Canis lupus familiaris: one gene and its partners. The protein of the gene in region 6 interacts with the protein of the main gene of each other region in a pairwise test. Links are inferred from orthologs where the notes say so. Each region holds a gene or a part of one and is shown on either strand. Other genes may lie near its edges.

The links.
Region 1: the proteins of SPG21 (region 6) and FAM114A1 interact in binary tests that used the Homo sapiens proteins (3 or more experiments, as listed by UniProt). The two-hybrid records come from large-scale screens. The link is inferred for Canis lupus familiaris from reciprocal best matches to the Homo sapiens genes SPG21 and FAM114A1.
Region 2: the proteins of SPG21 (region 6) and RTN4 interact in a two-hybrid assay, tested with the Homo sapiens proteins (2 studies listed by BioGRID and IntAct). The two-hybrid records come from large-scale screens. The link is inferred for Canis lupus familiaris from reciprocal best matches to the Homo sapiens genes SPG21 and RTN4.
Region 3: the proteins of SPG21 (region 6) and MTUS2 interact in binary tests that used the Homo sapiens proteins (3 or more experiments, as listed by UniProt). The link is inferred for Canis lupus familiaris from reciprocal best matches to the Homo sapiens genes SPG21 and MTUS2.
Region 4: the proteins of SPG21 (region 6) and AKIRIN2 interact in binary tests that used the Homo sapiens proteins (3 or more experiments, as listed by UniProt). The two-hybrid records come from large-scale screens. The link is inferred for Canis lupus familiaris from reciprocal best matches to the Homo sapiens genes SPG21 and AKIRIN2.
Region 5: the proteins of SPG21 (region 6) and DTX3L interact in binary tests that used the Homo sapiens proteins (3 or more experiments, as listed by UniProt). The two-hybrid records come from large-scale screens. The link is inferred for Canis lupus familiaris from reciprocal best matches to the Homo sapiens genes SPG21 and DTX3L.
Region 7: the proteins of SPG21 (region 6) and PRPS1 interact in binary tests that used the Homo sapiens proteins (3 or more experiments, as listed by UniProt). The two-hybrid records come from large-scale screens. The link is inferred for Canis lupus familiaris from reciprocal best matches to the Homo sapiens genes SPG21 and PRPS1.

What each region holds. Positions count from the first base shown.
Region 1 is NC_049224.1:74,008,603-74,012,702, forward strand, and holds part of FAM114A1 (protein NOXP20), read right to left. Parts: intron 3,136-4,100; coding exon 2,974-3,135; intron 1,608-2,973; coding exon 1,468-1,607; intron 1-1,467. UniProt on the Homo sapiens protein: May play a role in neuronal cell development.
Region 2 is NC_049231.1:57,224,939-57,229,721, forward strand, and holds the start of RTN4 (reticulon-4), read right to left. Parts: upstream 3,208-4,783; 5' UTR 2,948-3,207; coding exon 2,380-2,947; intron 1-2,379. UniProt on the Homo sapiens protein: Required to induce the formation and stabilization of endoplasmic reticulum (ER) tubules. They regulate membrane morphogenesis in the ER by promoting tubular ER production.
Region 3 is NC_049246.1:10,823,252-10,827,351, forward strand, and holds part of MTUS2 (microtubule-associated tumor suppressor candidate 2), read right to left. Parts: intron 1,160-4,100; 5' UTR 919-1,159; coding exon 1-918. UniProt on the Homo sapiens protein: Binds microtubules. Together with MAPRE1 may target the microtubule depolymerase KIF2C to the plus-end of microtubules. May regulate the dynamics of microtubules at their growing distal tip.
Region 4 is NC_049233.1:47,344,852-47,349,488, reverse strand, and holds the start of AKIRIN2 (akirin-2), read left to right. Parts: upstream 1-1,744; 5' UTR 1,745-1,848; coding exon 1,849-2,083; intron 2,084-4,637. UniProt on the Homo sapiens protein: Molecular adapter that acts as a bridge between a variety of multiprotein complexes, and which is involved in embryonic development, immunity, myogenesis and brain development.
Region 5 is NC_049254.1:26,315,382-26,318,390, reverse strand, and holds the end of DTX3L (E3 ubiquitin-protein ligase DTX3L), read right to left. Parts: coding exon 2,945-3,009; intron 2,463-2,944; coding exon 2,245-2,462; intron 1,162-2,244; coding exon 1,092-1,161; 3' UTR 938-1,091; downstream 1-937.
Region 6 is NC_049251.1:29,794,351-29,798,450, reverse strand, and holds part of SPG21 (maspardin), read left to right. Parts: intron 1-1,157; 5' UTR 1,158-1,181; coding exon 1,182-1,244; intron 1,245-3,884; coding exon 3,885-4,046; intron 4,047-4,100. UniProt on the Homo sapiens protein: May play a role as a negative regulatory factor in CD4-dependent T-cell activation.
Region 7 is NC_049260.1:81,769,349-81,773,448, reverse strand, and holds part of PRPS1 (ribose-phosphate pyrophosphokinase 1), read right to left. Parts: intron 2,595-4,100; coding exon 2,411-2,594; intron 1,239-2,410; coding exon 1,140-1,238; intron 62-1,139; coding exon 1-61. UniProt on the Homo sapiens protein: Catalyzes the synthesis of phosphoribosylpyrophosphate (PRPP) that is essential for nucleotide synthesis.

The DNA of each region.
Region 1 (4,100 bases), on a different chromosome or scaffold from region 6:
CCTTGGGCAGGTGGGTGGAAAGGCACTTATTATACAGACAAATGTGAGGTCTTGTTACCTTTTGCTCGTGGCAACTTGGTAAGGTTGAGACAATCTGGACTGGAAATCAGAGGTGCTAAGAGTAAGGTCCTGCTATATACATGCTTAGAGACTTCTTAACATTCTCCCTTTACAAACAAGTGCCACATACATAAAAGAGCACTTAGGTGTTTTCCTCAATACTTTAAACTTTTCCTTCTTTTCCTTTTCTTCTTCCTTTTACACACTGAAGTAAGTACATATTCTTCCTAAGTCCATTAAGTGCAGGATTGTACGGTTTTTATAATACCTTTCATTTTGGGGATGCCTGGGTGGCTCAGCGATTGAGCACCTGCCTTTGGCTCAGGTCGTGATCCTGGGGTCCTGGGATCTAGTCTCACACCAGGCTCCCTGCAGGGAGCCTGCTTCTCTCTCTGTCTGTGTCTCTGCTTCACTCTTTGTCTCTCATGAATACATAAAATCTTTAAAAAAATATCTTTCATCTTCACATAGGGAAATCTAGACTTGTAAGACATCCTTACAAGTGAGGAGAAGTGCTACCAGTAGGACAAAGATGCTAACATTGACTTTTTGGAAGGTTCTTTGACTAAACATTTGCTCCCCAATCTACAAGGCCAAATGCAGTAATAAGCAAAGACTAGTTAGCTAGCAAAGCAAATGGGTGTATTGAGATGTGTGTGCCTGTACTCATATATTTTTAGGAGGCTCTATTTTGACTTCTGTGTCTGTGTAGTAACGAGAAGGTACTTGGATCTGTGCTAATTTTCTATACCACGGCATACAGTCATGCGCGTAAAGTTAACAGCTTGTTTTTCAGCTCCATACCAACTATTTTAATATATGCTTCATACCAACTATTTTCATGTATATAAGGTTACACTGATACACATGACTATTTCACTAGATAAACTAATAATAATGGCTACTATTTGTTGAAGAATATAACATATGACAGCACATATGCACACACATGCAATCCACAGGGAACTGGCTTACATCAACAACCATCACTGCCAGAATTCAGAATACGCAAAGCGGTATAAGTCGCATCCAGGTGTTCTTTCTCTATTCTTGTAGTACGTTAAAAATGCGATTTCCCTTAAAGGTCCGTGCTTCTAAGACTTCGATCTACGAAAATAAACACTTACCTTTGAAATGATGTAGTGTGTCTTTCCTTAAATCTCTTCATAAATCCTAGTTAATTATTATTATTCTTGCTAACATGATTCAGCTAAGAATCTTATGACTCCTAAGAGACTCTATTTCCTAAGATGACCACAGAACAACATTATGCAAATTCAGAACTTGTAATTTAAATCTTTAGTAGCCCCAGGTGTGTGGGTGCATGGGTGTGCTTGTGTGTGTGTGTGCATTTGAATGGCTTGTGTACATAAAACTGGAAAAATAAGAATTAAAAGTAACATTTACTTTATCAGCACTCTTGCTTGGTCCTGCGCTGGTTTTTCCTCTTCTTGTCCGTGAAGAATCAATTCTGCTACTTTATGAAGCTGCTCGATACAGCGTGCTGTTACTTCTGCCAGACTTTCGATGGATAGCATATATACTTCCTGAAATAGATAAATGCAAGTAAGACAATTATTCACCGAGCAGAAGCTTTTTTTAAAAGAAAAAAACCTGTGACGCAAGGCACCTGGCTGGTTCGGTCGGTAGAGCATGTGACTCTTGACCTCTGAGTTGTGAGTTCAAGTTCCACATTGGGGATAGAGTTTACTTAACAACAACAACAACAACAACAACAACCCTATAATGTCAAAAAAAAAAAAAAGATGTAATTCTTGAAAAAAATGTCCTGAAAAGTTTACCCAAAGATTAACTGAGTGTATCTGAGACTCTTCTAAGTAAAAATGCTGCCATCAAATGCCAGTGCTTCCAGGTCCCAGGTGACATGCAAGCCTTACAGCTGTGTCCCTACTTCTCAGAGCAGTTCTGCACACACTACAGGGAGGTGCTCAGAAGGGCAACCGAATAAATAAACCTCAATGGCCATTTGTCTTTAAAGTGACAGGATTTAAAAAGTTACTTTCATGGGGCACCGGGTGGCTCAGTCGGTTTAGCATCTGACTCCTAGTTTTGGCTCAGGTCATGATCTCACAGTTGTGGGACTGAACCCCTCATTGGGCTCTACGCTCAGCGCAGGGTCTCCTTCAGATTCTCTATCCCTCTCCCTCCACTCACTCTCTCTCACAAATACATAAATAAAATCTTAAAGAAAAAAAATAAAAAGTTACTTTCTCTAAAATGGAAATTCAATGTAGAGATGAAGTTATTGCAAACTCATTTGTGAACACAGGCAGGCTATAAATTATGCACACATAAATTTATTAAATTACAGATTAAAAACTACGGCCGTGAAATTTTTTGGAAAAAAGCTTCAATTACCTCATTAGTTTATGGGGCATAAAGACATTTTATAGTTACACATTTGCATATCAGATGGAATTTTATCCTAATGATAAATCAACTATGTTCTTAAAGATCTTTTTTTTTTTCCTTTCAATTATCATCGTGAAGCTCTGGAGAAAAACTACAATATCTATGCTAAGTCCCGAATTGTCTTGGCACTGAGAAATTTTAGTGTTTATCACGTTAATCCTCATATTTCTATACTGTTTGAAACAGGGTACAAACGAAAATGAAATGGTTTCTGCTCACTTGAAATTCAGCTAACAAAACTAAAGTAATATTACCGCTCTTTAGGGGCACCTTGGTGGCTCAGTGGTTGAGCGTCTACCTTTGGCTCTGGTCATGATCCCGGGGTCCTGGGATCAAGACCCACGTCGGGCTCCCCATAGGGAGCCTGCTTCTCCCTCTGCCTGTGTCTCTGCCTCTCTCTGTGTCTCTCGGGAATAAATAAATAAAATCTTTAAAAAACATATTAGTGCTCTTTAGGTGGCTAATCTCCAATAAATTTACCTCAACTGTCTTAGTTTTCGTTTCTTCTTTTTTATCTTCTTTGGGATTTTCTGGTCTCTCTTCCTTTTCTTCCTCTTTAGTGTTCTCCTCCGACTCTTCCATCATATCTACTGACACTGTAGCTTGATTTTCTTCCACCCAGTCATGAGCCTTCTTCATGGCCTGTGAAGCACCCCCAACCAAAGCAACTCATTTGTTATGCAAATTTGGAGACTAAGAAATTCCAATTCCCAGACTAGAATCCAGTTGCCCTACACCTTCCACAGTGGTTCTCTGTACATTCAAAAAGCGATGGGGCATTTCCCTAGGCTCCTTAAAAACACCATGTTGGTGCCTTCTGGTGAATCTAAAGTAAGGAAGGGGGACAGAAAAGAAAGGAAGTATGGAGAGAACCTTGCAGGACCTGTTTAAGGAGCACTGTAAAATGCTACACAGATAGGCATAAAAAATGACTGTCACCTTGAAAGAGCAATAGTATATTTTTCACTTTTCATGACCAACTATAAAAGAATAACAGTACTTTTTTTATATATATGGGTTAGAGATTTAGCCAGGGTCATTGCTAAAGCAAATTTCCTCATTTGATATGTCTCATGAAGCCCTTAATGTATCATGAACCTAATAATGTATCAAGCAGGGAAGATGAAGGATGGCTCTGCTCTTCCCCAGTCATGTCAGGGGAGGAGAGAGGCTGTTGGAAAGACCTGGAGCTGCTCTGTGACTAGTTTAATCTCACACAAGTGCCGCTGGAGACACCTGTAGCCGAAAAAATTATGGCTAACTTGAACAGGCATAGCAGCTTCTCTGTTATTCCCTGAATTTACAAAGGGCAGACTCCTCCAGCTTTGATCCTTGGAGTTTAAAGCTGTTTGCTTAAGTGCAAGTCGTATCTGAGCTTATGTTAGACTTTCTTCTCATCTTAGAGCTCACCTATATCAACAGGCCCATGGGATGTTGGAGGCACCACACACACACACACACACACACACACACACACACACTCTCTCGCGCTCTCTCTCTCTCCGCCCTGGAGCAGGGGCAGGTGCTGCACAGAGATGAATGAGGCAATTTCCCACTGTGTTCAAGTCACTGACCTGTCAGAATCAGTGACCTCTATCTGAGATAAA
Region 2 (4,783 bases), on a different chromosome or scaffold from region 6:
CACCTCATTAGTCTTCTTACTAGACTTGCCAACACACACAGCTAATTCCTGCCTCAAGGCTTTTGCCTCCCTATGGGTTGCTTGGAAATTTTTACCTGCAGCTCAATCTCACCTCCTCAGAAAGGCATCTCTCAATGCCACTCTACTTAAACCACTCCCCACACACAACCCAATAATTTTCCATACCACCATCCTTATCACTATTCTGAGTTCCTTATTTATGTGCTTATTATCTGTACTCCCCTTATGGAGAACAAATGTGTCTTGCTTATTGCTATACCCTCACAGCCCAGAAGAGAACCTGTCTCTTTGTAGGTAATCAATCAATCATCAATTGAATGAATGAACAAACTGCTAAGAACCCGAGACTCACAGAGATGGCTTAACTATCCATGACTATAATCATGGATGTTCAGTGATTTACTAAAGCACTTAGGTTTCCAAATAGCTATCATCAATACAGAATTAGGGAACTTTATAGAGATAAGAGTCCCTGAGTAAGCAATATTCTCTCCTTTGTCTTCCAAACTTAGTATTCCACAAGTCAAAATTCCAAGAGAATGTCACCTCCTGAATCCCTAATGTTCAAAGATCAGAATTCCTCTTTGTCCCCATGCTGGAATACAAGATGAGACAAATCAGTATTCCTTTGTTAATCATTAGATTTTCCATTTGCAGATTTATCACTTTTTATTTTTCTACCTCACCTTAGTTTCTCTTACACACTTAATTCAGAAAATGAAACACTGAGTTGCTCTTCATCTTCTAATATCTTTAGTGTAATGATTTTGTGTAACGTGTTTTGAGTTACTTGTGTAAAGTGTTTTGAGTAACGCTTTGGGGTATGTCATTATCAAAACGTTATTCAGAAACATCACAATTGGCTTACTTCCCCATTGTGGAGGAATGAACTGAAAAAAATTTCATTTTCTCCTGGAAAATGAACCATTTGTAAAATCCTACAAGGAAAGCTATAAAGATCTCTCAGCAGGCAGTCACACTACCAGATTCTTGCTCTTTTATACATAAAAAGAGGTCCTACTGCTTGCTGGTAGGACACTTTCTGCCCCCCAAAATAACAAGACTTAAGCTAATAAACTCATAACTTGTAAGATTCTCCATCTCTAACAAATTTGATTTTATTCTCTTCCAAAATAAACAACTTCCCAAAAAGGAAAAGGGTAAGGAAACAATGTTCCTTTAAATATATACATACATGCAAGTACTAAAGCGAATAAAAAAAAAAAAATTTGGAAACTGTTTACAGACTACTATTGCAGATTTGACCTAAAACATGTAACTACTAAGAAAGAGTATCTCTAACCGCTACGTGAAAAAAAAATAATCTTTCTCAAAACATTAAGTCTCCTGGCTGGCTAATCCGCCACAAAGTCAATTGGCCTATTCGCGGCCAAAAAGAAAAAAAAGAAAAAAAAAAAAAAGAAAAAAGGAAAACAAACAAACAAACCCCACAGGTTTCCCTTCCCTAAGAATGTCAACCATTTTGCCTCTTTTCCTCTCCGATTCAAGAGCCCAAACCACCCTGGCAGCAAATCCTCTGGCTCAGCAGCCAGGACCCGGTGGGAGAACTGCGCCTCCTCGGACCGCGGATGCTCAGATCCCACTTCCCCGGCGCGGTTTAGCTGGGGAGTCGCCACATCACAGCCCGAGGAGACTGGGCGGTGGCAGGACTTTGCCAGAACTCTCGCCTTCCCAAATCCGCACGCGCCACACCACTGGAGGCGCTCTCCCGTCGCGGCGGCTGGGTCAGGGTGCATGTTTTCCACTGGGCCAGCTCCCCGCCAGCGCGAGTGGAGAGGGAGGGGAATGAGGCGCTGCGGGGGGGTGGGGGTGGGGGGTGACACCCAGGCCAGGGAGAAGGTGAGCGGGGGTGGGGGTGCAGCGCAGGGCTCACGGCTGCCAGACGGACCAGCCGCAGAACTGCGCCTTTTCCCTGGGAGCAACCCAGACTGGCAGACAAAAGATTACGGGCGCCAAGGCCTTTCCATCCTCACCCGGGAGCCCGGCCAGCCCCCCGTATCCACAACGCTAGCTCCTCGAGGCCAACCGAGCTCCCGGTACGGGCGGGTGCCTAACTTCCGGGACGCAGCAGGATAGGGACCAGAGGGAGGAGGCCGGGAGCAGGCGGGGTGCACGTGCTCCCCGACTCCGAGACAGACAATAAAGAACAAGCCCGGGTTTCCGCGGCCGCCCCACCCTGCTCCTGACGGCTCCTGCCAGGGGGGGCGCCTTCGCCCGGAGGTCCACGGACAAAGCCCCTCGGGGCGGGGAAGGGGGCTCCGCCCGAGGCAGCGGGGGGTGCACACAAAAGACGGAGGGGAGCGCGGGGCTGCGCGGGGCGGAGGGCGCGGCACTCACCCACTGAGCCTGAGGAGCCTCTGCGCTTGGGCGCGGCCGGCGTGGAGGGGGGCGCGGCGGGGGCCGGGGCCGGGGGCGTCCACGCGGGCTCGGCCTGGGGGCTCACGCCGGCCGGGGGAGGAGGGGGAGGCCGGGCCGGAGGCTCATCGTCCTCGGGGAGCTTGGAGGGCGAGGCTGCGGCAGCGGAGGGCAGGGAGGGCGCGGGCCCCGCGGGCGACGTGGGGCTCGGGTCCCAAGACGGCGGCCGCTCCGGGGCGGCGGGGGGCGCGGTCGGCAGCGGCCCGCGGGGCGCGGGGGGCACGAAGTCACTGCCGAAGTCCAGCAGGGGCGCGCCGGGGACGGCGGCGGCGGCGGGGGGCACCGGGGCCGCGGACAGCCCGGCGGCGGGCTTCCTCTCCAGCACCTCCAGCTCCTCCAAGTCCTCGTCCTCGTCCTCCTCGTCTTCCTCCTCCTCGTCTTCCTCCTCGTCCTCGGGGTCCCTCACGAACTGGTACTTGAACGGGGGCTGAGGCCGGGGCGGGCTGTCCGAGGACGAGGAGACCAGAGGCGACTGGTCCATGTCTTCCATGGCCGGCGGGTCGGAGATGCTGCTGCAGCGGCTCGTCTCCACGGGACGCTGCTCCCCGGGGCCGCGGGCGGTTGTGGGGGTTGGGGAGGACTGACAGGGGCCGGGCCGAGAGAGCCCGGAGACCTGCAGTGGCGACGGCTCCCGGAACAATGAGACTGCTCCTCCTGCCTCTGCGCCCGTGATGCGCCACCCGCCCCGTCCCCAGTTGCCGCCACCGCCCAGGCGAGCGAAGGAGAGAGGCCAGCCGATTCTCCGCCCCGTTTGGCGTGACTTACCCTCCCCGCGCGGGGAGAGGCAGGGACTGGCGCGGGAGGGAGGGAGCCAATCGCCTACGGGATAGAGATGACGGGCAACCATCCGGCCCAATGGAGAGACGGAAAGAGAAAAGTGGGTGGGGCCATTTGGACTTCCCCTCTCCTACCGGCTGGGGTGAGTCCGGTGGGCGGGGCTTGGAGCTGAGAGCCCCACCCTGCACCTTGGGTCAGATGCGGGGTGGGCGGGGGTCGCGGCTTTGCCCAGAGCCCGAGGGCAGCGGGCGGCTCGGGTGCCGCGTGGGCTTGCGCGGGGGCGGGCGACCTGCCGCAGGACTTGCGGGTTCCTGGCCCGCGCCCCCGGAAGGGCGTTATCCTGGGGGATTGGGGGTGGTAACTTTCCTCCCAGGAAAGGAAAAAACCCAGAGTGGTTGAAAGGTACTATGAAGTGTAGGCCCTAAGGATTTGAGTGTACGCTAAATATTAAAAGATTTTGAAATTAAAAGATTATTTTTTTAAAGCTTAAATGACTGGACCACCTCGTTACTACTACTTTCACCACCTTAAAAAGAAAAAAAATTTATTTTTTTTTTTTATTTTCATTTTTTTTGGAGAGCTTTAAGGTCGTTCTCTGTCCAAACTGCAGACTCTGGATGAGGTAGGCAAAACAGAGCAGGGCTTGGACCGTCTGGAGGACTGGGCCCATTTCAAAGTCTGCTCATCCAGGAGGGTTTGGGGATCTGCCTGCTGCTGGACTCGTACGTGGTAGAAGGATGAGTCACCCAAAGAGAGAGAGAGAAAGAGGAGGAAAGTGGAAACATAATGATGCCTTGGAAGGCAAATTTGATTCACATTACATTTCAGTCACCTTAGGCTCATGAGTCAACATTTAAGATGATTCAGGCCTTCTGGGAGTCAGGAAGCCCGGTATTCATTTGTTTGATAGGCTGGAAAGAGCATAATCTCCCCCGTTCCACTTTTTCCAAGACTGAAAAGGAAGTTTAAAGGAAAGTGGTCGAAAAAACATAAAAGTATCAGCATGCAAAAGTTTAGAGAACCCCTTTTATGTTTCTGGTATACCTTACAAAAATATTCACTGCATTCCTATTCTGGAGGCCCTGGAGACAGAGATAACTTGCTTTCAGATAGCTCACAGTCTAGGACCTCACTGTCCAATATATTAGTCATCAGGCCACTTGTGGCTATTGAGCCTTTTAAGTGTGACTGGACTGAAATGAGATATGCTGTAAATTTAAAATGCATACTAGAGGAGTGCCTGAGTGGCTCAGTTGGTTAAGCATCCTGCTTGATTTTAGCTCAGGTCATGATCTCAGGCTGATGGGATCCAGGCCTGGGTCAGGCTCCTCCATCAGTCCAAAGTCTGCTGGAAATTTTCTCTCTCTCCCTCTCCCTCTCCCTTTGTCCCTACCCCCCAAAGTAAATAAATCTTTAAAAAAATAAAATGCACACGAGATTTTGAGTGGTAGCAGCAAAAAATGAAAACACCTCAATTTTTATATGCTGACATTTTATCATTGATATTGTCAATATATTGGAATAAGTATACTAAAATTATTGTCACTTT
Region 3 (4,100 bases), on a different chromosome or scaffold from region 6:
CAGGACCCCCTTCAGTGCTGAGGCTGAATCCAGACCAGGCTCTGGATGGGCAGAATGTGATGTGCTCTCATTGCTCAAGTCTGGGCCCTGTGCCCTCTCCCTCTGGGTCTCTACAGGGGTGGTCTCCTTGGTTGCTGAGGTAGATGGTTTAGGATGACACACGCTCTTTCCTTCTGAGGTACTGTCAGCTGGAGGAGAAGCTGCTCCTCGAGAGGGGGCTGTCAACATCTTCTGTGGCCCCTCCCTGCCACTGGGCTCAGGACGCAGGGCTTCAGGGGAGTCCAGTGGCGCAGGCTGCAGACGCTGCCAGGTCAGGCTCCCACCAAGGCTTCCACCGTGCTCCTTCATGGGAACATCTGCTACAACGGCAGAGCTGCTCGCTCTTTCCAAAGAATGCCTTCGCAATTCCTCATTGTCAAGGGTCTTTGCCAACTTATCCTTAGGAGCATGCCGGGGAAGTTCAGCATCCCTTTTAGCCAAAACCTCTGGACTGGCCTCAGCCATAACATTCCTCCAAGTTGACAGACTTGGTCCCTGAACACTGCGAGGGGTCTGGAGGATATCTGTGCCTCTCTCCGTTGTGTGCTCGTCATGTAGTCCTCCGTGGACGGTCAGGGAAAATTTAAAATCTTTCAGACTGGTAGGGCCAGCCTGCGATCCTTTCCCAAAGCCCTGAAATTGGTGAAATTCCTTATTGAAATGGGTACTATTCTCTGGCTCGCTTGAATTTGCATTTCCAATTTCATCTGTCAGGTCACGTGTCTCGGACTCATCATGAGAGGAACTGACCTCCAACATGATTTGATTGGCATTTGTATCCCCCAGACTTAGGATACTCTCATTATTATTTTTCACTCCATTTCTGTTGTCCCGCAACTGAGCGTAACATGATTTCTTCGGAGCCACTGGGACACTCATTTTCAACCCTTCAGTGGGGGCTGCTGGCCATGCAGTCCTACCTAATGGAAAGAAGTTTCCTTCAAGGCTATTTGATTAATGGGAAATTCTCAAGCTGCTTCTTGCCCCCTGACAATGTCACATTGCAATACCACTTTAATCATTTTCAGAGCAGTCTTAAAACCAAGCATTGTCTTGACATACAGCAGGATGACTTATCTGTTAGGTTCCTGCTGAATGAGAGCCAATTAGTCCATAAGACCTAGAGAAAAATAAAAATAAAATCATGTTATTGGCACTGACAAATAGAGGTTCTCAGGAGAAAAAAGCATGGAAAATACAGATTTATTCATAATTTTCATATTATTATTTCATTCACTCAGTCCATAAATTTCTCCGAAACCTTTCTGATAGTGTGCCTGCTGGCCAACTATGGAGAAATTAAAACATAAAATGATTAATGTTAGAAATGGATTATAAAACATATTAAATCTTAAATTCAAATTTAAAATATCCACAGGTTCATACTTATACTGATATAAAAGGCTGGAGGAGAAGGAAAAGTTCTTCTTCACAGAATAATACCAACTAACATAAGAAAAATCATACCGTTAGAAAAAAAGTCACCATTTTGTAATCACCAAAGTAATAATTATCTTGCAACCAATGGCTGTGAAAAACATCAGGTGAATGATTGTTGGGGAACAGGATATTCACAGAATCCTAAGGTACCATTCTCCAGATTATTTATTATTTTTCAGAGAGAAAGAGAGAGAGAAAGCAGGTGCACATGAGCTGGGAGTGGGGGACGGGTAGAGGGAGAGGGAGAAAGAGAATCTTGAGCAGGCTCCATGTTCAGCAGGCAGCCTGATGCAGGGCTCAATCTCACAACCCTGAAATCATGACCTGAGCCGAAATCAAGAGCTGGATGCTCAACCAACTGAGCCAGCCAGGCACCCCAAGATAACTTTATTATAAAAGGAAAATTTTACTTTTACTATGAAGAAATCTGGTAGATATCACCTTAACCAAGTGATCAATTTTTAAAACCAATAACAGAAGCTGATACCATGTGCTCCTGATGTTAGGTAGTTCTCAGTGCTTACATCACCTATGTAGTATTTTTGCTATAAATGTTCAACCTGAATTTAATCATGAGGAAGTAACCAAGCAAATTTAAACTGATGGACATTTTACAAAATAACTGGCCTATACCCCCAAAATGCCAGTGTATAATCTGTATACAATGCATGCTCCTTGACTGGATCTTAGATTGAAAAAAAAAAAAAAAAAAAAAAGCTAGCGGCACCTGGGTGGCTCAGTCAGTTAAGCATAGAATTCTTGATTTTGGCTCAGGTCATGATCTCAGGCGTGGTGAGATCAAGCCCTGCCTCAAGTTCCACGTAGAATCTGCTTACAATTTTCTCTCTTCCTCTCCCTCCCTCTCTCTCTCAAAAAAAAAAAAAAAAAAAAAAAAGTTAGCAAAGGACATTATTGGAACAATTAAGGATTCAATACAGATTGTATATTAGGTCAAGGTATTTTATCCATGTTAACTTTCTTAGTATTGTGAATATATCCGAGATATGCTTTGCTCTTGGAAGATATGTGCTTTTAAACATGACATGCTTTAGACATGGCATGTGCTAACTTATTCTCCAATGGTTCAACAAAGAGAAGTGTGTGTGGTGTGTGTGTGTGTGTGTGTGTGTGTATGAGAGAAAGAGAAAATGGAACTATACCAAAGGATAATAATTGGCAAATTTAGGTGACCCACTCTACAACACCTAGAACTATTCTATAGTTTTGAACACTTTCAAAATAAGAAGTTGGAGGAAATCATATCCCAGCCTTCAGGGCCTGCATGATCCAGCCCCTACACACCTTTCCAGCCTCACCTCCTACTACTTATCCTCTTACTCTCCAGACTGCAGGCACACTGTCCTCATCCTTCACATTACTGGTCACCTCCTTCCCTGCTTTGGGGCCTTTATACTCTTCCATCTGCACAGAATGTGGACTCTTCTCCCGACATGATCATACAAATTCAGACTCATAATACAGGACTGTATGATTAAACAATACATATAAATATGTTAACAAACTGTGCTAACTGCACCCACGTGAGGTGCATTTTCCCAGAGTGAGGCATGCAATTTTCATGTGCTTCACATCTGTTACTATAAAAAATTAAGACTGATGACCTTAGAAGTAAATGGTATTTTATCTTAGAAAAAATCCATTAATTAACTTCTAGGTCCAAAAGGAGTTTAAAGATTTTATAGGCTTGTAGTCTCTATGATGCTTAATAGTCTTCCAAGTATTGCTCCTACTGCTAGAGTAGGAGTATCTACACAGTATCTCCCTGTGTCAGGAGATCCATCAACTTTCTTGGCAACCCAACAGCCCTCCATGCAGGGCTACCACCAAACTAGCCCAGAGTGGAGATTTGCCTCTCTAGAGCAGTGCATTACAATCCTTCTTCCACCAGAAACAACCCTTCAGGTATCTGTAAAGAGCTACTATACTCCCTTCCTCCTCCAAACCTATTTTCCTTGTTAAAGAACTCATATTCTCCCAACTGTTGGAGTATGTTTAGAAAACTCCCACCATCTAAATCCATGCCCTGGGGAACCTGAAGTCTCTCCTAAACAGGCTACTCACAGGTGCACACAATACTCCAGCTTTAGGTGCATCATCCAGGGTCCTGTGAAACCAAGACCTCCATTCACTTAGTTACACCTCTAACTACATGATCTAAGAATGTCCTTTCCATGGCCGCACAAATCATCCTGTTAATTCTTTATCAGTTGAAATGCCAAAGTACTATAGGAGTCACTGCTAATCTAGAGGGATTCAATCCTAAAAATCTATAGCTGGTTTTTAGCATCCATGGGTAGGACCATAAAAACCTACCTCTGGAACTTCATCTTTTTGGTCTAGGTCCATTGTTCTATCCTATTTAAAACTTTTTGGGCCCATTCTTAATTTTTCATACAAAATATTTGCATTCCATTCTGTTTTCATACCATCTCCAAAGAGGTAAGTGTGCCTTCCTTATTATCATTCATTTCACTGATACCAATGTCAGCAAAACAGGTCAGGGGACAAAGCAGCAGCACCTGGCACCAGGAAGAAGTCTCTCCACAATGGTCCTCACTTGCTCCTCAGCATTCCATGAGCACACTCACACATGCAACCCT
Region 4 (4,637 bases), on a different chromosome or scaffold from region 6:
AAAAATTTACCTATTGGGTGTCAGAGTTAAGCCATTGTTTCATTAAATGCTGATGATTTTCAAAAAAATATTTCCCAAACAACATATTTTAAAATAAAATTAGTGCAGTTTAGTCATTGACACAATGTGATCAGAACTGCTGATCTTTAAGGTGTTGAACAATTCAATAAAACAGGAATATATTAAACTAGTCACAAATGAGGAATTATCGACAAAATGGTTGAAATGTCTTTCAGTTACTAAATTGACAATGGGAATACATAAGTACTATACTGAAACTAGTATAGTGATATCCAAGATCATTAGAGAATATGGCATTCACATGATCATTTGAGAATATGGCAATAACTAGTTTTTGTATTGGACTGGGGATAGCTTCCATAGGCAAAAGACTGGTGACAATTTTTTACATTATTACTACCGTATTTGATTGTTATTTTAGGTACCTGAGTAGCAGTACAAAATTTCCTCTTTGCTTATAAAATGGGTTCATTATCTACTCCTTTAGACATTTCATTATGATTTTTTAATTTTTAGAGTTCAAAAGATATACTATACTACAATATTCAACAGATAATACAATTTCTGGTATCACTCGCTTTTATCCAAAGCAAAATAATTTGGCTTTGTACTCTTTCAAATTTATTCGTTTACAGGGTAAACCTGGTTTTGCAGAATTTAATAAATGGATGCAAGCAGCTACCTGGGAAGGGCAAAGCATCCAGTTCACTCGAGGATCCTGTAATCTGATACTAATAATGTTGCTCTCCCTTTCAGTCCTAAGTATGTTCCATAATCTCAGTATTTCCTAGCCTCTCATTGGGACAGGTTTTGTTTTTGGCACTCTTATTACCGAAATTAATCTGTCTTGAACTGTTGGGTTGGCTAAGTTTTCTATTTCCCATTTGTTAAATCACTGTGGGAATGGTATCAGGACAACTATGTCCTGAATTTTCAAGGTCTTTTAAGCCTATTTTCTGCATCAGTTGGCTTTCCTCTCTTCCAGTCTCTCCCAGGCTTTTCTCTTTTCCCCTTTTGCTTAGCTCCTTTTACACTCAAGCCGTGTAGGGGATTTAAATTCCAACCCGGAACTCGGAATGCCGCGCCTTGAATGACGGGAATCGTAGTTTTCGTGACTCCTCCCTAATCGCTTTTCACGCCGATTCCCTTCCACAGTGAAAAACGACAACTCCCAGAATGCGCCTGCGGGGTAGCCACCCCTGTGCGCACGCGCCCTGAGGCCGCAGAATTTGAATCGGCGGCGTTGTTATTGACGCCATATTGGGGCCGGCGGCGGGTGGAATAGTCGTACAGAGGAGGGGGAAGCGGCTGGACGTGTTCGATTGAGCTCCTGCCGCCGCCTCCACCTCGCAATCCCTCCACATCGACCGCCGCTCTCAAGCTGCTGACCTTACTCGGGCTTACTCGTGGCCGCGTTCCAGCCTCATACCTGACGGGGCTGGTTTCGACTTCCGAAGGGAGCCGGTCTCAGCGCAGGAGCGCCTCAGGCGCGGCGCAAAGCTCGAACGGACGGCGGGGGCGGCCGGAGCCTCTCCCGGGGGAGCTGTGCCTGAGGAGGCGGAAGAGCCCCCCTGACGCGGCTGTCGTGAGCGGCCGCCACCGCCCCTCCCGCTCTCGCCTGGGCCGGCCCGGCCACTGCCCCTGCCGCGGCGGCAGCGGCGGCGGCGGCTCTCGCGTCCTCGCCGGCGCTGCACCACCCCGCCTTCCTGCTCTTGAGCCCGTCGGTTAGGCTCTCCTCGGGTCCCCGCTCCCCCCCCGCTTCCCTCACCCTCCCCTCCCGTCACCTCTCCCCGACCCCACCCGAGTCCGGCCTCGGCTGCCCCGGCCATGGCGTGCGGCGCCACTCTGAAAAGGACTCTGGATTTCGACCCGCTGCTGAGCCCAGCGTCCCCGAAGCGGAGGCGATGTGCGCCATTGTCGGCGCCCACCTCGGCTGCTGCCTCTCCGTCGGCGGCGGCCGCCGCCACCGCCGCCTCCTTCTCGGCCGCCGCCGCCTCGCCGCAGAAGTATCTCCGAATGGAGCCGTCCCCCTTTGGCGACGTCTCCTCCCGCCTCACCACAGGTGGGACTCGGCCCCGCGGCCGCCGGGGTGGGCTGGAGAACGGGGGTCCCGGGACGCGGAACCCGGCCCCAGGGATGGGCTTGCCGGGTTGGCCGTCCTCCTTCGCAGAAGTAGCAGTGGAGCGGCCGCATTTCTTCAGTTGGGTCCTCTGGCCCCGGCGACACAATAGAAGTGGCCTGGTGTCAAAGGGGTGGGGGAGTCGGGAGGTGGGGAGGGCAGGGGCTGTGCCTTGCCGGGTATTGTGGGGAAGAGGAAGATCCTTTTCTTTGGGCTGAATGACTGGAATGGAGTGTTTCCGTAGTCTGGAGAGCCCCAGCGGAAATGATCAGAGAGGGTGATATTATTCATAAATTTAGGCGAGAGAAGAGTAACGTTTCGCCCGAATCTCGATATCTGTCTCCTCGAATCGATTGGTCGCAGCCCTTAACTGTGGGACTGGGTGGTTTGAGGCGAGGCAGCAGCCCCTCCTCCAGTTCAGACATGGCTGATTTTAGTACAGAGGGGGTGGGGGGTGGGGATGGATGTCACTGGGGCGAGATCTAGGCCTGTCATTAATCACCCACAAGAACGCCACTTTGGCTGAGTCAAGACCTGTTTCCCTAGCAGGGTCAACAACAAAGAAAATGCTCTTCCCGAGTACTGTAATATGATCGTACTATGCGTCTAGACCCTGAGAAACTTGAACTTTTAATGAAAAGCGAATTGTACTGAAAATTGGGCCTGAGTAGTTGCTTCTGGTTGGAGGTGCTTTATTTCTCAACAGGGTACGGTGGGGTGGCGGGGGGTGGGGGGGTGGAGAACAGCCTAGGCCTTGAGAGTAATAAAGAAATCAACCCAAGACTCTAAGGCACTTAAGACTGTCTTTGCTTTTCATCTTGAAACATTTCCTGAAAGTGACTATGGGGAAATGCCTTTTGGCTGCTTTGTACTGCATGTGTGTGTGCCCAGTTTTTTCTGTACTTTGAAAATCCTTGTGTGCCCCTGGCACAGTCCTAGGATAGGCTTTTTGTGGACTGGTAGTGTAAATCTCTTTGTGAGTATAGTATGCAAAGGTTTCATATTTGAGCCTTTAGTGATATCATTTGCAGACAAAGCCTTTTCATAGTTTAAGTGTTTTATTATCAGCTTTTAAAAAACCCGTGGGCAGTATATACCTCTATATTTGGTAACTTCCATTTGGAATTGTTTCGTTCAAGTCAGGTTTTTAAATATCCTTCCCCAGATTTTTAGGGACACCCTCAATGCCTAGGCTACCATTTCTGCTATTAAATATTTGACTAACTTAAGGATACACTATTTTAGAGTTTTAAAGAGTTTTCAGAAGAATTCTCAGTTTTATTTAGTAACTCTGCCTAAACTGCCTTGTATGTAAAGGCATTGGTTGATTGACTGTTAGGCTTTGCATTAAAAGACAATCAGTGTTATGAGCTGGTGATTAAATTATTTTTAGATTTTTGTCTTTTTAGTCAAATGATACTGAAAATTGAAATGATACCTAGGAATCCGTACTTAACAAATAAGGCCACTTAAAAATAGCCCTGGCTAACTAGCTATAAATTTCAGGGGAGCCGGTGAATTAATACAGTGTTAGGTTTGGGAGTTTAGTGTTAGGTTTGGGATATACTTTAGTATATCTCAATGCTGCAGTAGTCTTGAGCATATATGATTAACCAGCCAGGAGCTATATTTGTCTTCACTTTAAAGGGAATTTATTCAGGATTGTGATCTTTTACAAATCTGTCATTTCATTGATGCATTTGTAGCATTGGTTAATGCTGTTGGCTCCACATTGTCTCAAATTTCAATTGAGTGGATGATAATTTAGTAAATGACTGGAGTAATTGAAATTGTTTAAATAAGCCTGATGTTTCAAATTCATGTTTTCCAAAATATTGCTGTCATCTTCGGGGTGTTTTTAACATCTATTCTGGAAGTTTGATCATATCCTGAACTCTTAAAATCACAGCCTAATTGATCATTTTGAGCCTGCTAAAAGATTTAATTTTTTCAACCGACTTGAGTATTAACAGAAAAAGTTGACTTGAGGAAAGCAGTTGAGATTGTAAAGTTTTGAATTGCTAAAATTTACTTTTTTTTTTACTGTAATTTTGAATGATATTCTACATGAAGTTTAATTTGGCTTTTGTTTTTAGATGGCCAGCTTGGGTAGGCTCCTGTGTGGTTTTTGTAATGATGTCATAATGGGAGCTGCAGTGTTGTGCAGGTATAAAAGACCTTTTCAGTTATCATGTCCCCAATCTTGGAAATAATTTTTCCAAGCACTTAATTTTTAGATTTTTGTTTTAACAGTGGTGATTCTCAAACTTTGCAAGAGTAAATATCTGTATATCTGTGGCTGAAATAAATAGCTAGGGTTGGAAATGGAAAGTGATTTACCAAGTTGAGATTGACTAGGACTCTGCAGAAACTTTGTTTTCCTTTCATTTCTGTCCGTTCAAGTGTAATTTAAAAATTTAGAGCTAGAGTACTGAAATTATTTTTTTTTCCAGAACATGCATATAATTTATTGTTTTATCATTGTTCTTTTCTGGAA
Region 5 (3,009 bases), on a different chromosome or scaffold from region 6:
AATGGCTTCCTTACTTGCCTCTGTCAGAGATGTAGGGAACATAATCCCTATGCTGGGCTATTAGTAACCTGAGTCAGGCAGCAAAAAATTATGAAGCACCAACTGTGTATCAAGCTCTGTGTTGTGAAAAATAGCCTTATTCCATTTATTACCAGAGGTTGCCCAATCTCTGCTTCTGGCCCCTTTTCTGGCCATGGTGAGGGTGGTGGTGGTGGGGAATGTGGGTCTCTAATTTTCCATAATCAAAGCCTTCCTCCCCACCCCCATCCACACTAGGATTTTACTTACAGGGTACTTAAGGAGCAAACAAAGAAACAAAAGGCTACCTCAGAAATGGCAATAAAAAAGAGTATCAATTGACAGGGACGCCTGGGTGGCTCAGCGGTTGAGCGTCTGCCTTCGGCTCAGGGCATGATCCCCGGGTCCTGGGATCGAGTCCCACATTGGGCTCCCTGCTTCTCCCTCTGCTTGTGTTTCTCCCTCTGCTTGTGTTTCTGCCTCTCGCTCTGTGACTCTCATGAATAAATAAATAAAATATATTTAAAATTTTTTAAAAAAGAGTATCACTTGTCAGCTACTATTTCAACTGAAGAACACAGAAGATGATTTCAGACTCACGACACTCCACCCCCTGCTCCCCCAAAGATGACCCAAGAATGAGGCACAATAAAATTACACAGATATTTGGAGCTTTTATCTTCCGTAAAAAGTAACACTCCAGAAATGACAGACTAGGAGATTCTTACTCTTACATCTACGACTTCTTGAAATGAAAAATTTTATTTTATTTATTTTTAAAATTTTTATTTATTTTTTAAAAGATTTTATTTATTCATGAGAGAGAGAGAGAGAGGCAGAGACACAGGCAGAGGGAGAAGCAGGCTCCAGGCAGCAAGCCCAATGCGGGATTTGATTCTGAGACCCCAGGATCACATCATGAGCCAAAGGCAGATGCCCAACCGCTGAGCCACCCAGGCGTCCGGAGAGGAAAAGTTTTTTTTTTTTTTTTTCGGAGATGAAAAGTTTAAAAAGATGTTTCTTCAACTGTGTCTTTTGATAGCTTGGCTCAAGACATCCTTCCTGCAGTCTTCTTACTCAATTCCTTTATCTTTCAGCTCCTGTTTGACACGTTTCAGATAATCGGGATCAGGGTAGCCATACCTGCAGAAGGAAAAAGGTCCTTAACTTCTTCACAAATGGTCTTAAAAAAATCTGTACAGTAGATTAACATGTAGTGTTGCAAACATTCAAAAACAATCCTGAAGACAGATGACTGATAATCACTTGTAAGTGTGCAGATGTAAGTGCTCTGCCTGGTAAGTGAGCCTAGCTGTCTGCCCAGGATTGGCCTTGAACAAGACTTTTTATTTTCAGCTCACGGTAAGCAGTGACTCTCCTAAAGTCTAATAACTACACTATATTTTTATGGAGGGCAACCATATTCTACAGAAGAATTTTCAAATTTGGGACATTTTTGAAAAGCTTAGGATGCATTCCCTTTTGAACACTAAAGGGTCTGAGGCATTCTATTTGGGTTTCATAAAGGGCAAGTAAAGAACAACTGGATTGCTGATGATACAACTTCCACCACTACTAACTGAGACTTTTCCTAGAGTACTATTGGCCAACTGATTTTAGGATCTCTGTGGACCATTCGGGAGGGGAGGGTAAAAGAAAGGGTGATTTTAAAAGAAGGCAAAGTAAATAATACATAAAATATTACTCAGCCACGAAAAAGGATGAAATCTTGCCATTCGCAACAACATAGATAGACCTAGAGGTTATTATGTTGGGTGAAATCAGAGAAAGACAAATACCATAGGACTTCACTTATATGTGGAATCAAAAATACAACACACACACACACACACACACACACACACACACAGAAACAGTCTCATAAATACAGAGAAGAAACTGGTGATTGCTGGGGGAAGGGGGCTAGGGATGGGGTGGGGGGTAGGCAAAAGATGGACTAGGAGGTGCAACTACCAGTTGCAAAATAAAGGACAGACGGTAACTACACTTATCATAGTCAGCACTGGGCGATGTGTAGAATTGTCAAATCAACTGTTGTACAACTGAAACTAATATAACATTGTATGTCAACTATATTTCAAAAAAATACTTTACTGTATCCAATCCCACTGCTCTACAGTCTCCTTACAGCCACCTCCTCAAACTGCCATATTTTACAACCTCTAAATCCCGCTTAGCAATCATTATGTTTCAGAAGGTTCTCACATTTGTGGCCCTCCAACACGGGACGTTTTGTGGTGGATATCATTCCATGTAACGACATCTGAGACTCCTAGTGTTCGAGACTCTCCCACTGTGAAAATCAGCTTTTGCTCAAAGGCTCTACAAAGCAGTCTCAAAACCTTATTTCCTTCTTCATTATTAGGCAAGTATGCTGTTCGTTGTACTCCAGAGTATTTCTTTCCTGGGTTTGGGTGCTCTTTCTGTGTGAAGACAAAAAAAAAAAATATCACATGAAAACACTCCCCAAGTCTGAATTTTACTATACAGATAGATGTACTCATTTGCAGATGGAGTAAATACAAAAAAAAATACCGAAGGTTTGCATATATTTGCAATAATTCCTATTTCTCTTTTTCCCTAAATTCTTGCCAGAAATACTATCCATCTTCTGACTTGCCCCATTCTAACACATAGTCACCACCCACTTCTTCTCTGCCTTAGCAGACACAAAAGATACCTAAGTTATCAGCAAACATTGGTACCTTTATTACTGTTGTTGTTGTTGTTGTTATTATTATTATTATTTAAGGCCCTTGAATATAGAAATATATATGAAAATACATTCCATGTATTTTTCCATTTATGGAAATAATTCCTCAGGAATCCAGAGACAAGAGAGTCTCTTTTCCTCTGATAATTCTAGCATCCTGGAAAGAAACCCATGTACCTCAGAAACACTTACTGTTTGTATGCCTCCTTTCATGTTATAATCAATCACAATGGAACCGCAGGATTCATAACCTGGAA
Region 6 (4,100 bases):
CTTGAACACATCCTACATCTGGTTAGGAAATCCAGACTTGCCCTGGGGGTACAGGACAGGACACACAGCAAGAATTTGAATCCTTCTAAACCAGTGGGTGGAAGTTCCTCATTTGGCAATAAGAATCTGCAATGGGAACTGTAATTTCAGGTTCCTATTAGGACATAACACAGATGCCTGAGCAAAGAGGGGCAGCCTTTCAATTGAAGATGCCTAGCCAGTCCAAAGCTCTGAGGCCTGGGTCAAAAGGGACTCTAGGATTTCCCGATGCAGTCTTCTTAGGACATAGTCATCCATTTAGCCAATGAATAATGCGTGTTCTGTGCCAAACACTATTGTAGGCTCTGGAGATAGAGTGGTGAAACAGAGATGAGAAAACACATCCAGAGAGGGTAGGTGACTTTTCCAAGGTCACAGAGCTATATAAAAGCTAGAAATCACTAATCTTACAACAAAAGACCACATATTTTTTCTAAAGACATATGTTTTATTCCTAATTATAGGAATAATTATTGCCTTCAAGCCTTTCTTGGTATTTTATCATAGATCTTTCAGAGGAGGTTATATCATTTTTATTCACACCAACAAGGTGAACAGCAAATTTTCCTGTATCTTACATTAGGAACTACATATGAAGTTCTGAAGTTATGTTCAACCAGAATTAGATTTATAGCATTTTGTGGAGTGATCAGGAGGCAGACTTAAATCACCTCCTTTCTCTAGCATGGACTGTTCCTTATAATTTTATCAGACCTCTTTGTTAAAGTGGATTTTTAAGGTACTGTCAACACATAGGTGAGGGCACTGCAGTTTGCAGTCGTTGAACTAGGACAGGCAGTCAGTGTCAGAAAAGACTCCCCTCCCTGCCTTTGGGCCTAGCTCTGCAATAGCCATAGGATCTCTGGTAAGTCATTGAAATTTTCTAGACTGGATTCCTCATCTGGAGGAACTAAGGGAGTTAAAATCATTATCTCTCAGGGCCCCTTCCTGCTTTATGACTATAGGATTTCACAAAATTGTTTTCTGACAAGGTAAAATAGCCCATTTCCTTGGTTTTACCATATAAAGTACTGTTGGTATAGCTAGAGCAGACTCTACATTTAGTTCTGATGTAAACATGAATTCTTGACATGAAACATCACATGCTTTTATTTCAGGGTTAACCTCCATTTCAGCTAATCATGGGAGAGATTAAAGTCTCTCCTGATTATAACTGGTTTAGAAGTACAGTTCCCCTTAAAAAGGTATGTATGATTTTACTACACCTCTTATTTGCAAAATCATGTATTGTTCTTGTGACTTAGATGTTATGCCTTAGTAGTGTTTGAGAGTAAAGGTTATTGCCAAGTATCCTGACTCTGGGTTGCAGAGCGTAAAGTTCACCTCTTTGTCAAGCGCTATCAGATTTTGAGACTCATTCAAGAGTAAAAGTGGGTGTATAACTATACTCATTATTTTATAATTGCTTTTATGTATTCAAGCAAGCAGAAATATGTGTACTCTGTTTGGTGGAAAGCTTGCAGTAACAACAACTATATAGTAGGTACAGTCAGATTCTATTATAAAGCCTTTTCCTATTCTTCAGATTTAAGAGTTACATTGGGTAACATTATAAATCCTATATTTGCAATGATAGTTGTCTTCAGGAAACCTTATTTGCCTGGGATGTCCAAAAACCCTAAGCATTTATCTTGAAGTTTGACTGTTGACTCTGAGCTCCTAATTAATCCCAAATGTTTGGGGATCACATTAACAAAAGCTAGTTAAGATGATCTGAAAATCATCTATATCTTGTTAAAATCATTTTGTCAGGGTAGACAGCTGTGGAAGTACGATACAGATTTGAATTAATAACATAGCTGCTCTCCATCTAGAAATTTGAGATACAGTTTTCTAAATATAAACAGGATATCTGCCGTATAACTGTCACTATAGTAATAGCACTATTTAATTCTTCTAACAGTTTTAACAAAGCATGGGTAGCTATGTGCCCATTTCACAGATGAGAAAACTGAAGTTCAGAGAGGTTAACTTGTTAAAGGTCACATAGCTTGGTAGAGTCTGGATCATAATCAAATTAGTCTGGCATCAAAGCCAGAAGTACTTGACTGGTAACCAAAGGGAGCCTCCCTTCCTTCTTGCTCCCTGGGAAACTACCGCCCATGCCAAAAGATGATTAGCTCCTGGGGTCCTCTACCTTGTCCCATTCCCTCAAGTAACTCATGTGAGCTCCTCTTGATGGACTCACTTTCTCAGCAAGCTGATCACCAGACCCAAAGCAACCCAAACTTCTTGAAATATTCTTAGAAGTAGTTATAGCAAGTAGCTTCATTGATGTACTTTTCTCCAGCTGTCAGTTCAGTCCATCTGTCCGTGATTGTGATAAGTTTGCTTGAAATTTCATGGTGCTAGATTTTAAATTATCAAAGAGATACTGTGTCTTCTAAAATTATCAGATAGAATTCTGACAAAATTGCCATTGAAAGAGCTCTGAGAACATTGAAGTGATAAACTTATTCCAAATGAATTATTAAAATCATTTCCTACAAAATTTTAGAGATCTGAATATCTTATCTCTGGGAATTTTATTACTACAAGATTGGGATTTACTGTGTGCACTGTCAAAGGCTGTTAAGAGAGTTTTACCACAATTATAGCAAAACAAACAACAGCAAAAAAAACAAAACCCAGAAAAACCGAAAAACAATGAAAAGCCAAACTGTGAGGAGCAAAATACAAAGTGCAAAAACATGAGTATGAGCTATTATTGTCATCATCTTTGACCCAGGGAAGTCCAAAAGGGAATTGTTAGGATCCACTGGACTTTACCTTGCCCTATTTGACTGCTCCCAGTGACACCTGTGATCCCAGTCAGTGTGCTGCTGTCTGCAATGACACCATGGACCCGCAGTATTTCCAGCTAGGAGCTCTCAGAAAACAGAATCTGGAGGCCTTGAATTTTTTAATGTAAAAGTAGGATAAATACTGATTCACATTGGCAAAAGTTCAGGCAGTTAATGTACTTTTCCAAATACCACCAAAAAGTCAAAGAAAACAAAAAGTAATCACACAGCGAATAATACTAACACTGAACACAAAATATCTGCCAAACTCAGCACTGAGCACTTGACTTGTCTCAGTTCATTTAAAGCTCATCCTTTTTCCTTGTTGTGTAAGGACCACTAATTAAGGAAGGTTTGTGATGACCTTCCTGCTCCCTACCCTTTTTTCCCAAGAAAGCCAGTTTTTTCCCTGTGCCCACTCCCCACTCCTGACTGGTTTGAAACATTCTTCCAGGACAGGGACACCTACAGCGGCAGCATCCTTCCTATCTTAGCAAAAATCTCTCCCTCAGAGGTGTTGCCTAGATCAGGTTCCAGAAGCATCTCCTGAGTGGTACCGTCTCTCCCTAGTTTGTCCTGAGAGCTTGGAGTCTTTTCTCCCTTCTGAACAGCGCTGGAGAATGACTCCGCAAATTGCCTCCTAGACACACACACACTCACACACACACACACACACACACACACACACACACACACAGCCAGAAGTATGGGAAAGAAATAAGATGCCATGAACAGTTTACTGTTTAATGATAAATAAAATAGGCTTCATATAATCATGGATGGGAAGGAAAATTGAAAACTGATTTAAAAAAAAAAACTCTTTGGAAGAGTATGAAGCAATTCTGTGTATAATATGTTAGCACTGAGGAGGGCAAAAAGAGACCAAATGCAGTTTATTATATGTGCTAGTCTGGTGTGATCCCAGGATACCTTGTAACCACCAAGGCATTAAAGTTGTCAGAGAAATTATAGTAGACAGTAACAATATAAAACCAAATCCATAAAGTTTTCCATATCTTTTTCTTATAACTTTCCCTCTAGATTATCGTGGATGATGATGATAGTAAAATATGGTCACTGTACGATGCCGGCCCCAGAAATATCAGGTGTCCTCTGATATTTCTTCCCCCTGTCAGTGGAACTGCAGATGTATTTTTCCGGCAGATTTTGGCTTTGACTGGATGGGGTTACCGGGTTATAGCTGTAAGTATTGTGGATTCAGTATTACAGTTCAAGTCCACATTTCGTGGGGGTGGG
Region 7 (4,100 bases), on a different chromosome or scaffold from region 6:
TTATCCACTTCAGGACAGCTGGCTCTGCATACAAATTGTCCACTGGGATATCAAAAAAGCCCTGAAGAAAGAAGCTGAGTCACTTTTGCTTTGTTTTCTGCACTTCCATTTACAAATGACTGCTGATACAAAGAGGTTACTAACTTGCCCAAAGAATACCTTCCTGTTAGCATTCCAACAGATTAGAAGTCATGCCCAGTGTAGCAGACTAGAATGGGCTCCTCAGGCCTGGGCTGCACAAGAGGCCAGCCGACAGGGAAGCAGCCTGCCCTCAGCTAACCCATGGCTGTTCATAGGAACGTGAAAGTGAGCCCTTGGAAAGATCGGCCCATTCAGCCCATACCAGAACGGCCCAACATGCAGACTTGTGAGGTCATACTTACTGCCTTACGCCACCAAATGTTGGGCTGGCTTGTTAGCTAACCCAGTTAGAGATGCTTTGATACACAAGCTTAGTGGAATATATCTATTATAAATGGCCACACAGAGTAAAGAGAAATCAGGAGATCTGTGTTCCAATACTAGGTGCTATAAGATTAGTGGTGCTTCTCAACAGATCTGTTTCTCTTCTACAGAATGGGTAGAATCACCTACCCCATGTACCTCATTGGATTGCTGCAAGCCTCCAACAGTGATCTGAAAGTCCCTTTAAGCAGTACAAAATATAAGGTAGTATTCTGCTCCCTTTATTCTATGTTTATGCTAGAAAGTATGCTGATAGCTGTGGTTCTCAATTTGATGATGACCATTAACAGTTCCTATTTACTAAACACCCATCCTGGGCCATGCATTCTACCATCAATTTCATACTCACAGTTAACAATGCGGCATGTATTCAAAGAAGTTAAATAACTTGCCCAAGGTTATAAAGCTGCCAAGTGTCAGAGCCAGGATTCAACCTCAGTTTGAAACCAAAGCCTCTGCTCTTCTCAGAATTCCAGACTACCTCCCTTATCCAACTACCCCAAAGCAACTAGGACCAGGAACAATGCTTCAGGTAAGGATGCTTACAGTGATGTCAATGTCTAGTTACTTTGAGCTGTATTTGGGCATGTGTTTGCTTCTCTGCAGTCTCTAGCATTATCATTATTATTCCTCCCCCGTCCCTTTCTAATGTCAAATATTTAGCTTCCAGATACCTGAATCTGAGAAGCATGCAGGTCCATGGTGATAATATGATCCGCGCCTGCCACAGAGAGCATATTTGCCACAAGCTTGGCTGAGATTGGAGCCCGGCTCTAAATGGGGGGGAGGGAGAAAAGAACAACAAAACCAAAAAGCCATTTTGAGACACAATCCATTTGGTCAAGAAGCATTTCTTTATTGTGCACTTACTATGTTTAAGGTACTGCACTACAAGGAAATTCATACAAGGTGCCATGGCCATTGGCTTTACGAGTAAATCACAATCTAGCACAAATATTAAGTGCAATATCACTTTTTCAAATCAGGATGTTTTTCAAAAAAGAAAACTACCTTCCCACCTTTTGTTTTCTTAACTTAATGTAAACATTTTCAGCCTATCAAGTGTTCCAATGATCAATTATTTAAACTAGGTAGACTTAAAAAAAATCTTTTTCACAAGAATTTTAAAAATCTCTTTTAATACATACATACTCAAACCTGTATGACATGTAACAGGTCAAAATTTAAAGCTCTAGCACAGAATAGAAATTATAGTTTATTTTGTAAATTAGTACCACTCATCCACTCATCTGGAGGTCAACCTTCCAGCAACTTCAGCTTCCTTAAATAACAGGTAAATATGCTGGCTGCAATATAAAATAGCAAAGCCCATGCTCTTTATACTCTGTAGGAGCACTACAATCTCTCAGAATAAAAATATCTGGCCTTCTCCCAGACATTGTAAGGAAACTTTGGGCACTGATTATTATAATAGTCCTGGCAAAGTTTTATGTATATACCTTAACCTCTAATATACCAGATGAATGAGGTGAGATGTGTATGTGTATAATGAGACCAAGCATTCATGTAACCAACTTTAAGTTTTACAGAAGAGGTCATAGCTGAAACCCCAAGAGGGTCCCAGGAGATCTACCATAGCTTAAAAAATCTTTTCCACAGTAGCTGGTGTTTAGTCCTACTGTCACAATTAAAAAGTCATAGTGAGCTAAATGAAAGTCACATACATATGACTGGAACAAATACAAACTACCAATGTGTTGGTTTATATAAACCAACCACATAGCGATTGTTTTTGAACACTGGGTAATACCTATGAGAATGCAATAAAAAAAATAATACCCTCTAAATATGCGTCTGAGGATTAAGGATTTGTGTGTGTGTTTGTGTGTGTGTGTGTGTGTGTGTGTGTGTGTGTGTGTGTGACTTTGGGCAAGTGCTTCTCCTGATTTTTTAAGTTTTTTTAAAAAGGAGATTCTGCGCTCACCTTATCCTTCTTATCCTGCCGGGCATAAGGGAAGCATGGGATGACTGCGGTAACCCGGCTGGCTGAAGCAATCTTGCAGGCATTAATCATGATCAAAAGCTCCATTAGATTGTCATTGATTTCGCCACAACCACTCTGAACAATGTAGACATCCTCTCCACGTACGCTTTCTCCAATCTCCACGCTACAACAAGAAAGGAAGGAAAGCAAAAAAACAAATAAGAGATTTTAAGGCACTATACTACACTTCTACAGACAGTGAGGTCTAGAAAGTATAGCTTCCCTACTACTATGCTGCTCATGGATTATAGCACAGTGGGGGTCATGTGGACACTGATCCCTTCAGACTTTGGGTGATCCCCTGGAGAAGCCCCAGTACCAGAAGCAGTTTTACTGCCTTAGTTCAAATATTACCTACTTTTTCTTTTTTAAAGATTTTATTCATTTATTCATGAGCAACACAGAGAGAGGCAGAGGCATAGGCAGACGGAGAACCAGGCTTTCTGCAGTGAGCCTGATGCAGGACTCGATCCCAGGACCCCGGGGATCATGCCCTGAGCCAAAGGTAGAAGCTCAACCACTGAGCCACCCAGGCATGTCAATATTATCTACTTTTACATGTGATATGGCATGAAGAAGATTGGCTAAAGTACTTACAAGTAATTGGACATAATTTCAGTGAGCTGCCTGTATCTCATTTCATATAGGAATAGAACATGTAAATGCAAATTTGATACAGAATCTGGGACTGTCAAAATCCACATATAACAAAAGCAGAAGGATCACGTAAGGAATGAATCACTACTGTTCTATAATGATGCCTTCTACGGAAGCCAGTATCACATCTACCATATCGGCACTTCACTCAATAAATAGTCAATGTTCATATGTCAGTCACTTCTAAGTGCCAGAGACACATGCAGAATAAAACAGATGTGGTCCTCCATTTTATGCTAACTATATTCTATCGAATTAGTAAGTCTTGTTTAAAAAAATATTCCACAGGAATTTAATTATGGAGTAGGGCTATACTTTACCATAAAATGAAAATTTTAATATCCATGCTTGGATCCTTACCAAGAATAACTTATGATTAAAAATCATAACCTCTGTGATACCTCAAAGCAACACCATTTCCCCAATTAATCCCATAGGTGAGGTGGGGGTATTTGTGGGTGTGTGTGTGTACAGTACATAGTGCGCATTCATCAGGAGTAGGTCAGAATAATTGGTAACTCCCACTGATCAAGAGAAAAAGTTGAACAAGAGGTAATTCCATTACCAGAAACAGCTGATACAGTTGTTAATTAACATTTATTCCTTTCCAATCCAAATAACAGTTAATTTTTAAAATAACGGGGTTCGTTTATATAGTAAAGCAAAAAAAATGAAGAGCAAATGGTAAAAATACAGAGGGGGGAATACTTTTCCAAGGCATTTTACGTTTTTACAAGGCCAGTATTCACGAGACACCTGAACCAGACAAAGGCAGCATGAGAAAACTACACAGAGGGAGAAATGGTGCAGGTGTGGTTACAACAGGAAGGAGCCTTGTGGTGACAAGATGGTTTTGTATCTTGACTGCATCAAGTTCCATATCCTGCCTCTTGCATTACACTCCAGTTTTACAAGAAAACTATAGTTTGGAAGAACTCTGGCTGGGAGCTTCGGGAAAAACTGGGAAATGCAT